Arabidopsis thaliana: one gene and its partner. The protein of the gene in region 2 interacts with the protein of the main gene of each other region in a pairwise test. Each region holds a gene or a part of one and is shown on either strand. Other genes may lie near its edges.

What was found.
Region 1: the proteins of SCY1 (region 2) and AT2G39630 interact in a protein complementation assay, tested with the Arabidopsis thaliana proteins (one study listed by BioGRID).

The regions. Positions count from the first base shown.
Region 1 is NC_003071.7:16,520,972-16,526,474, forward strand, and holds AT2G39630 (Nucleotide-diphospho-sugar transferases superfamily protein), read right to left. Parts: upstream 3,813-5,503; 5' UTR 3,591-3,812; coding exon 3,478-3,590; intron 3,399-3,477; coding exon 3,350-3,398; intron 2,830-3,349; coding exon 2,723-2,829; intron 2,567-2,722; coding exon 2,521-2,566; intron 2,232-2,520; coding exon 2,097-2,231; intron 1,969-2,096; coding exon 1,879-1,968; intron 1,798-1,878; coding exon 1,666-1,797; coding exon of another isoform or gene 1,639-1,665; exon of another isoform or gene 1,565-1,638; coding exon of another isoform or gene 1,551-1,564; coding exon 1,467-1,550; intron 1,374-1,466; coding exon 1,309-1,373; intron 1,227-1,308; coding exon 1,037-1,226; 3' UTR 773-1,036; downstream 1-772. Other genes in the region: AT2G39620 (Pentatricopeptide repeat (PPR) superfamily protein), read right to left, coding at 1-507; AT2G39640 (glycosyl hydrolase family 17 protein), read right to left, coding at 4,200-5,384.
Region 2 is NC_003071.7:8,111,584-8,116,458, reverse strand, and holds SCY1 (SECY homolog 1), read left to right. Parts: upstream 1-1,973; 5' UTR 1,974-2,006; coding exon 2,007-2,209; intron 2,210-2,419; coding exon 2,420-2,577; intron 2,578-2,659; coding exon 2,660-3,345; intron 3,346-3,426; coding exon 3,427-3,640; intron 3,641-3,727; coding exon 3,728-3,891; intron 3,892-3,997; coding exon 3,998-4,228; 3' UTR 4,229-4,375; downstream 4,376-4,875. Other genes in the region: AT2G18720 (Translation elongation factor EF1A/initiation factor IF2gamma family protein), read left to right, coding at 1-90, 167-269, 353-580, 666-884, 970-1,539; TPS11 (trehalose phosphatase/synthase 11), read right to left, coding at 4,660-4,875. UniProt on the Arabidopsis thaliana protein: Involved in protein export. Probably interacts with other proteins to allow the translocation of proteins across the chloroplast thylakoid membranes. Required for normal greening during embryogenesis. Central subunit of the protein translocation channel SecYE.

The DNA of each region.
Region 1 (5,503 bases), 8.4 Mb from region 2:
CCAAGTAACAACATCCTTCACATGCATTTTATCGAACACTTGTCTTGCAGAAACCAAGTCACGAGCTTTACAATACATTTCAACTAACGCAGTTCCTATATAAACATCAGACTCAAGACCCATCTCAGCAATCAAATCATGTATCCGTAAACCCTTCTTAAAGTCCATAGATCCGGCACAAGCCTTCAAAGCAAAAGTGAAACTGTACTTGTCTGGATCAATACCTTTCTCCTCCGACATATACCCGAAGAATCCGAGAGCTTCTCTGTGCAAACCGGCTCTCGTGTATCCTCTGATCATTGAATTCCACAAGACAACACCTGGATCTCGAACTGAATCAAAGATGACGCGAGAAAGGTCCTGTCTTTGAAAGAGAGAATAAGCGTTTATGAGCTGGTTATGAGGTTTAAGACCTGAGACTATCAAGCTGCCGTGAACTTGAAGAAGACACCGGAAGTTCTTACATTCCCGGAGCATAAGGAGGAGGTTAGTGTAGTTAATTGGCATTTCACCGGCGACGAGGATGCATTTGCAGTTTTTTGGCGGTTTATAGGAAAAACCGTTAAATTTGAAAGCTTCAAAATTTTCTGTAATATATAAATTATAAAATTGAAGTCATTTAATTAGAGCGATTTAGTTTATAAGAGGATCAATCAGTTCCTAAGATTAAGACTTTAATCTTTAGTTCATGCCATGAAGATGTAAAACTCAAAGTAGAGCACTGTCATTGGAATGTTTGAGTAGTTTAAACTTTTTTTTTTTTTTTTTTTTTGAACAAAGTTTGAGTAGTTTAAACTAAAACCAAAAAAAAAAAAATCTAGAGCTGTAGTAGTTTCATTTCATCATTTATAATCCGGTAAGATTTTTATCACATCTATTGAAACAAAGACCGACATATTTTCTATCGCCTTAGCTTTCCTTGAGCTTGACCAGAAATTCAGAGACATCAAAACTATATCCTCTCTGCAGAAAACCAGCGTGGACGAGTTGTTATTCCCAAGAGGAAATGCTCTATGTATGTTGTTGTCTATGTGTCTCATACTTGATGGATCTTCCACATGCCAGTTCTGTATCCCACAGACATTAAAGCAAGCTCCCAAAGCATGTTTGGAATGCTCAACATACTGACTTTAGACCCGGGAATTTCGGACCATTTCACAGAGATTTCAACCATTGGTATATTAAAACGCTTGCACAAGTACACCAATTCAACATCAAAGCACCACCTGCGCATAGACCGAGTCAGATGAGACTCTTATTGATGTTTTTACTGCTAGTTTATCATCATCGATTCATTTACTCATATACCTTTTCAGATGGACGTTTGTGAAAAGTCTCCTAGCAGCAGCCCTAGTAAACATCTTGAAGCCACACTGATTAAAAAAAATGATGTTTAGTTATTACTATTCAAGATTGGTGAAACAGAGAGTGTAGAAGGAAACAACGAATGAGATTTAAAAAGCCACCTGTGTATCCCGAATACCAGGACCAGCAGCTAATAGAACCACAAGATGGAAACCCTTCATCAGAAAGTTGCGATACCATTTCCTCTGAAATTGAAAGACTAAAAGTCAATTATCTAAGATGCGTAATAAGTATATGCATCTGTGTGTGTACATAGACAAAGAATGATGTTGTCTAGAACAGAAGTTTGCAAGACTTAACTGTAGCAAGAGCTTTCTCCTCGAGATGAGCACGAGAACCAAATGCGGATACTTGAACATCACCTATTTTGAAATCCATATCCTTAGATGCTGGATTTCTGATTGAATATTCTTCTCTGGCTACTGCATTGATCTGAGAGGCTAGGAGATCAGGAAATTTATAGCACAATTTCTAGTTTCTCTGAAGTTTTAACAGTCAAAACTAAGGGCAAACCTGATTTTCAAGTTTTTCTAGGTCCGTTACTTTAGTTGCTCCATCAGCATCCAACATGAGAAGTAGCTGACCCCGCGAATGCAACATTCCCTATTCAATGCTTTCAAAAAGTAGAAAGCTTCGATTATTTTTTTGTACTATGAAATGACAAATTTACAGTCTTACTCAATCACATAAAATAAATATATAGAATTGCATGCGCTACGAGTTGAACTCACTTTTCTTATAGCTTCTCCTTTGCCTTGATTCTTCCCAAGGGGTATAACCCTTATGTTGTCAATTGTGTACTTTCTAATGAAATCAAAAGCTACTCTTTTTGTTCCATCAACACTTCCATCATCAACAATCACCACCTAAAAGGAGAAAAGGTAAACTTAATCCACTGATGCATATAGGGTTTAAGGAACACAATAACGACTTATTGAGAAATTTAGCATGAGTGGGCAGTCTATATTGATAGATTAATAAGTTGTGAGCATTACTCTCCTTTTTTTAATAGAGTTAGGTAAATCAAATTTAGGGACAAAAAACGTTTAAAAGCTCATACATATTCACCATAACAAAGGCCATATCTATGTTAAGAATCCACCTTAATCAGTTGTAAGGAGAACTACTTAGTATGGAAAACTACTTAGTATTTACCTCAAAAGAAAAACTCTTGTCCCGTGATGCACGATCTTGAAGGTAACTGCAAACCAGAGGCGAATTACAATTATGCCTCTGTAGTATGCATAAATAAGACTTGTGCTGCTGTTTCGCAAGAGAAGCAAACTTCTCACGATTGGAAGCAGACACACAATCCAGTAAAAGGGAGATTCGAATAAGTGGAAGTTGTCTAACTTACTCCATTGTTTCCTCAAGAGCAGCAGGAAGTCTCAGTTCTTCATTATACGCTGGAACTATTAAAGACAAATACTTCTCGGCAGGGTCGGTAATATGAGGGCAAGGAATCTGATAATAAAGTTTGAAAAACAGGGTCAGGAAAAGTAAAATCAGATTCCTCAACCACCAGAAAATGCGATCAAGCAAGTCAAACTCGTTATAATTGACAAGACAATCTATGTATGGATTCAACATTATAATGGAACACTTAATTTTTCTAGCTAAGCCACTAACTTAAGAGTTTCCAAAGTCTGCATCTGGAAGAGACTCCATAAACTACTTATCAAGTTTCACACGACTATACAATATAACTTCTCAAGCTTCTTTGCTAAACCAAAATGTAACATTTGATACAAAAAAAGAGCTAAACTAATGGAAACAGTTCCTCTTAAAGACTACGTGAAGCTTCAACATTCGTTTTAGCGAAACACAGAATCAAGTGTTCAAATCGCCAACGCAAAACCTTTTTAACGAGAAAATCTCAGTTCCATTAACTATAATTAACTGATTTTCAAAACGCTATCGTTCTTTGCCACACTATTGCCAGAAAATCACTGTAAACTAATACGATAAATCAATCAGACGTTACCGGTTTTATAGATTTCGGATCGTCGAGTGTAGTCACGGTCTCGACAGAGCTGAGAAAATCCAAAACAAATCAATCAAATCTTATCCTCAGAAATCGGAACAAATTCGAAGAAATTGAGTAAAACGTACACGTTACTGTGTCTCCTTCTCCAAGCTTCAAAAACAACAACGGATAGAAATCCGAATAAGACGATCAGCAGCAGCCAGAGGCTGAATTCCGCAACTGTTACCAGAAACTCCATTGTTGCTCCCGAGATTTGAGATCTGTTTTGCTTTCACGAGAAAGAGAGAGAGTGAAGAAGGAGAGATCGAAACCAATCCGTGAAGAATAAGCAAGAAAAGCTAAAGTCTAATGATTGATCCGTGAAGATGGTTCAATCCCTAATTTCAGATTAAAATGCAGCAGAGCTCAATTTGAGATAGCCATTTCGGTTTGACTTTTGGTTTAGCCATTTAGGTTCCGGTTCGTTTGGTAGTGTTAATGTTGAACAAAATCTCAAATTATAATAAAATAAAGTTTTATTGATTAACAATTTTCAATATACAGAAAAAAATGTGGATTAAAATATGTTAAAGAATAAAACTGATCAATATTATGATTTGGAAATGGCAGATTATATATATGAATAACTAGAAAATGAATAGATGGAAATGACAAAGTATAATTTGGATATTTTACCATATGTATATAATTTTTCTTTTTCATGTACATGTCTACATAAATATTTGAAAAATATAATGAAAATTAAAGATACAACATAAAAACAACGAAAAATGATTGTTCTTATAATGAAATAAAAGGATCTTGTTTTATTGATTTTTTTCAGTTTCTGTAGTTGCTTTTTAAAAATTCAGAGCGTTACTGATGCTGGTACGACGCATGTGCTAGTGCTTGGGTTGGTAGTAGTGACGATGCCACTACCACGGAAGTCACAAGCGTCTTTGGAGTATCCTTTGCTCTCGTAATAAGCGTTCATTATGAACGTGGATCGAGTCTTCATGTTGTTGTTATCAAAACATATGCCACCAGGTGATATTGGTTTACAATCAATACCTTGGCTACACACCCAATCAATATTAGCTTGTAGTTGTGTCTCTGTCGCTTCTTGTTTCGCCATACACCAATTTGCACTTTTGCTTTTTGCGCCATTGCCGCCGCCACCTTCCCCTATCGGTATAGGGCATGTGCTAGTGCTTGGGTTGGTACTGGTAACGATGCCAGTACCGCTAAAATCACAGACAACATCAACGCATCCCTTGCTTTGGTAATAAGCGTTCATAATAAACGAGGACCGAGTCGTCATGTTGTTGTTGTCAAAACATATGCCACCAGGTGAGATTGGTGTACAATCAATACCATGGCTGCATACCCAATCAATATTTGCTTGTAGTTGCATTAACGTCGCTTCTGGTTTTCCCACACACCATTTTCCATTGTTGTTTATCGGTGGAAACGGAAGCGGGCTTCCACCGCCTTTTAGAACTCCAACATCATACATCGGTGAAAAATCCGGTTTAAATATCCCCCAATTTCTCTCACGTGTTGGACCGGGTTTTCCATCTTCATTGAACAATGCAAATATGAAGATATCGATGTGGCGGTTGGGCATTAGAGGTGTCCCTATAACTTGTGCACGCTTGATGATATTGAGGTTGTAGTTTTCAGCGTTTTGAGGTGAGCACCATGAAGCGTCACAAGCCGTGGGCCAACCGGTCTCCCCTACCGCGATATCTACGTCGCCATAGCCAAGAGCTTTCATAGCAGAATATGTTGCATCCATGACTGCGTCAAACATGTTGGTGTAGGTTTGTTGTGTATTGGTATCCGTTATTGCATTTGATGGACCAAATATTGCGTAATTGACATTGTTCGTGTCCATCGTGAAAAAAGTGTAGGCGTTGATCATGAATGGGGACTTAGCCTGACGATGAAATTCCAAGATCTTTGTAAAAATATCTTTTTGATCGTTAGTAAATCTGCTCTCACTTGGTGTATTACGGTTATAGCTTATGGTAAATGCATGTGGAGTTGTCACCTGAAGCCAAATAATGGTGGATTAATTACATTTTGTTGATAGTAGTATCAAATAACAACGTATTCAAAAAATATTTATGAAATATGATTCATATGTAAAAAAACAAAAAAAAAAACATT
Region 2 (4,875 bases):
TGAATTGGAGCGTAACATTACCATTAAACTTGGTTACGCAAACGCAAAGATTTACAAATGTGAAAAATGCCCTAGACCAGTAGCCTACAAGTGAATTCTTGCTCTTCTTTTGCTACAATAAGGTTACGTAGTGTACGTAGCAACTTATGATATGTGTTAATTATAGGTCTTTCGGGAGTGGCAAAGAAGACAACCCAAGTTGTGATGTCTCTGGACATGAGAAGTACAAGATGAAACTACTAAGACATGTCTCATTTGTTGATTGCCCGGTATAAAATGAGTTTTAACACTATTTCTAAATCTTTTGTAACCATTTTCTATATGTTAATGAGGTGTTTTGTGTGTTGATTAGGGACACGATATCCTAATGGCGACAATGCTGAATGGAGCAGCGATTATGGATGGTGCTTTACTAATCATTGCTGCGAATGAGACATGTCCACAACCACAAACAGCTGAACATCTTGCTTCTGTTGATATGATGCATCTTAAAGATATCATAATCATTCAGAACAAGATTGATCTCATCCAAGAAAACGAGGCTATTAAACAGCACGAGGACATCCAGAGATTTATAACGGTTTGATTCAATTTTCCCATTCTGTTTTTTTTTTGCATTTTTCACTTCTTGATTAGTTGGTTAAGTTTTAAACTTGTTATTACAGAACACGAATGCGGAAGGTGCTCCTATAGTTCCTGTCTCAGCGCAACTGAAATACAACATCGATGTTTTGTGTGAGTACATTGTCAAGAAGATTCCACTCCCTGTGAGGGATTTTGTGTCACCTCCAAGAATGATTGTGATTCGTTCTTTTGATGTCAATAAACCTGGCTCTGATTATGATGGTATGAAAGGTGGAGTTGCAGGTGGGAGTATCCTTCAGGTAAAACATACTCAATACCCCGAAAAACTAGGATAAATCGCGGTTGAATCAATGTAACTTATGTCTCTCTTTGCTTTGTTTGCAGGGTGTTTTGAAGGTGGGGCATATAATAGAGATAAGACCTGGAATCACTAGAAAAGATGAGAATGGAGACACTAAATGCACTCCCATTTACACGCGTATAACTTCATTGTACGCGGAACAGAACGAGCTTCAGTTTGCTGTCCCGGGAGGTTTGATTGGAATTGGGACAAGCATGGATCCTACGCTTACGCGTGGTGATAGGTTAGTTGGTCAAGTCCTTGGTGAAATAGGTACTCTCCCTGATGTCTATGTTGAACTTGAAGTGAGTTTCCAGCTTCTGACACGTCTCATTGGAGTGAAGACAAAGGAAACAGAGAGGCAAATGAGAGTGTCAAAGCTAGTCAAGGGAGAGATACTGATGTTGAATATCGGATCGATGTCTACGGGAGCTATGGTTATTGGAGTAAAGAAAGATATGGTGAAAGTTAATCTGACACTCCCTGTGTGCACCAGCATTGGAGAGAAAGTGGCTATAAGTCGCCGTGTGGATAGGCATTGGCGTTTGATCGGTCGCGGTCAGATTGAGGCTGGAACCACCATTTTTATCCCTTCTCCTCCTTCTTTGGCATGATTATATTTGATGCATTCACATATACCAAACTTGTAGTCTCATTATATCTTCAGAGTATTCCTAATCTGTCACCAAAGGAGATAACTAAACTTCTATGTGCTTATGCTTTTTGTGTGAAGTCTAACTAGAGTTTGATCAATTGCATCATCTTGATTTGTTATTAAAAGTTTTATAGTCTATGGATGTTACAGCTTAATTAACTAATTATCCTACATAGTTCATTTGAGAGAAAGATATAATTTGTGATTGTTGAAACTTGAAACTTGAAGTCTTGAAGAAACAGAAAGAAAGACTTGAAGTCATGGTCTCATTCCTAACGCCCAAAACAACAAAGATTAATAATGTGCAAAAGATGTATTGGGCCTAAAAGGCCTGGCCCATTAGCTGGATTCCGTAAGAAAAAAAAAAAAAGTGAAAAGGAAAAGAAGAAATCGTCGTTGTTGTGGAGAAGGAGAAGAAGGATAAGGATGATAACGGTAAGCGAAGTTTCCTCTTACTCTTCTTCTTCTTCAAACTTCGCGTCTCTGTCTCGTCTCAATCACAAATCATCTTCGAGATTGCGAAGCTCTTCTCTTTACAAAGGAAGCTTCTTCTCTGTTTCGACAAAGACCAGGAGGAACACTTGTAAAGCCAAATCATGGAATCTCGGTCTTGTTATCAACTCTAGAAGGTACTTCTTCTTTCAGATTTCAGATGGGTTCCATTTGAAATCGAAGATAATGATCTTGTTATAGATATTGCGACTTAAAGTTCGAAACTTTTCATGTGAATTTCTCTTGAATTGTGGAGATTTGAGGGTTATTTCATCACTAGTTCGTAGAAATGCTGATGTTTTGTCACTTACTGCTGCATTGTTTGTTGATTGGAGTTGATGTTTCAGCTCTGAGGCTTCGGTTTTTGATCCGTTGGGGATCAATCCAGATGAAACTTCTGGTTTAAGTAGCATTTGGGAAAGCTTTGTGAGTCTTTTGTCACCATCATTTGAAAGCTCTTCCGGTAACAGGCGAGATAAGCCGTCTTCTGGTAGAGGCGTGGCAGGTTCGTTTTGGCTTATCTACATTTGCTTATTGTATGTTTTAGCATGATTGATGATGGTTGCTTTACTCTTTGAAAACTTCAGCTGCTATTGAGGACAGTTCCATTGATTTTGGAGATTTCTTCAAAGGGCCATTGCCAGGGAAGTTTCTGAAGCTTCTTGGGTTTTTAGCTCTCTCTCGGCTTGGAATTTACATACCACTCGGCGGGGTTAATCGAGAAGCTTTTGTTGGAAATTTGGATCAGAATAGCATTTTGAGCACTTTGGATACATTTTCTGGTGGAGGCATAGGTAGACTTGGTATATGTTCTCTCGGGATTGTTCCTTTCATCAACGCTCAGATTGTGTTTCAGCTTCTTGCTCAAGTCTATCCAAAGTTGCAAGATCTTCAGAAAAAAGAAGGTGAAGCTGGTAGAAAAAAGATTCTTCAGTATACTAGATATGCTTCAGTTGGTTTTGCGATAGTACAAGCAATCGGACAAGTGTTTTACCTTCGTCCTTACGTTAATGACTTCAGCACGGAATGGGTTGTTTCTTCTGTTACGTTGTTAACGCTTGGTTCTGTTCTCACTACATATATTGGAGAGAGAATCTCTGATCTGAAACTTGGAAATGGCACTTCCCTATTGATTTTCACAAGTATCATCTCTTACTTGCCTGCATCATTCGGTAGAACAACAGCAGAGGCCTTACAGGAAGGAAACTATACTGGTCTTGGAACCATCGTTGTTTCATTTCTCCTCTTGGTACTCGGGATAGTATATGTTCAGGTACTATACCAAATTTTGTTCCTTTTAATGAATCTAAGAAGTTTGGTATGCTTATATAGTCTAACAAGCAAAGTTTTTCAGGAAGCAGAGAGGAAAATTCCGCTCAATTATGCCTCGCGATACACCAGCAAAGCTGGTGGGCTTCAGAAATCTGCTTATCTTCCATTCAAGGTCAATAGTGCGGGAGTAATGCCTATCATATTCTCCACATCATCTCTTGCTCTTCCTGCTACTTTAGCACGATTTACCGGCATATCTGCTTTGAAGAATGTTGCTTTTGCTTTAACCCCTGGAGGTAAGTTCTCCTAATACACAGCAAGTAAGAAGATTGGGTCCTTTGAAACTGTTTTTTGTTGATGACTTCACAAACAAACTATTGCAGGTTCTTTCTATCTTCCAACCAATATACTTCTCATAGCTTTCTTCAACTACTACTACACTTTCTTGCAACTTGACCCGGACGACGTGAGTGAACAATTAAAACGCCAAGGTGCATCAATCCCTCTAGTCCGACCTGGTAAAAGCACTGCTCTCTTCATCAAAACCGTAAGATCTTTTCTCCCTCTCTCCTTGATCAATTTTTACAAACTTCCCATTTTGGTTTATCATCTAACAACTATCTGAAAATGTCTCGCTCTGATTGCAATATCAGGTCCTTGGCCGGATATCGGTTCTTGGTTCTGCATTTCTGGCTGTTCTAGCTGCTGGTCCTGCTGTAGTCGAACAGATCACTCACTTGACAGCATTCAGAGGATTTGCAGGCACTTCTGTTCTGATCCTTGTCGGGTGTGCGACAGATACTGCAAGAAAGGTTCAAGCAGAGATAATCTCGCAAAAGTACAAGAACATTGAGTTTTACGAGCTTGACAAGTATGATCCATGAACTGGACCTTCTGTTTTACATATAATACCCATCAAACCAAGTTACTGTGTTCTCTTGTCATAGATTGTAACAAATGTTTTAAACTTTGATTAGTATATAATGCACTTTTGTCATGAGCTTGCCAAAGGAAAGTGAAACCTAGTATATAATTCATCAGAACAAATTGTCTTTCCCAATTTTCAATCAGAAGAAGAGCTCTCTTCGACAAGAAAACAAAATTGAAATGAATTCATCATATTATATCTATTTCCTTTTCTATGTATAAGCATCTCACATGGGGGCAAAGTAACCGAATTGACCAGTTCAAGATACTCTGTACAAAAGGCATATATAGCAAACCTAGAAACCTTTCAGGTAACCTAAAACCTTCAAATCCTATAATCTTTTAATATCACAACAACATAAAATCTAACGCAAACCCTTTCAAAGATCTATGCTTTCTTTCGACATTGTCCCATAGGCTGTTGAAAAGTGAACTTGCTCTGTTTCTTCTGTTGCTCATGCTTTGATCCATCTGAAGCTGAGGCCAACCATTCAAGCATCTTGATAACACTTGGGGTATCATCGAGATAGTACTTGGCCTTGCTCGGTTTCTGACCAACTGTGCACGCAAAGACCTCTTCGAGACCAATAGAGGAAACATCTTG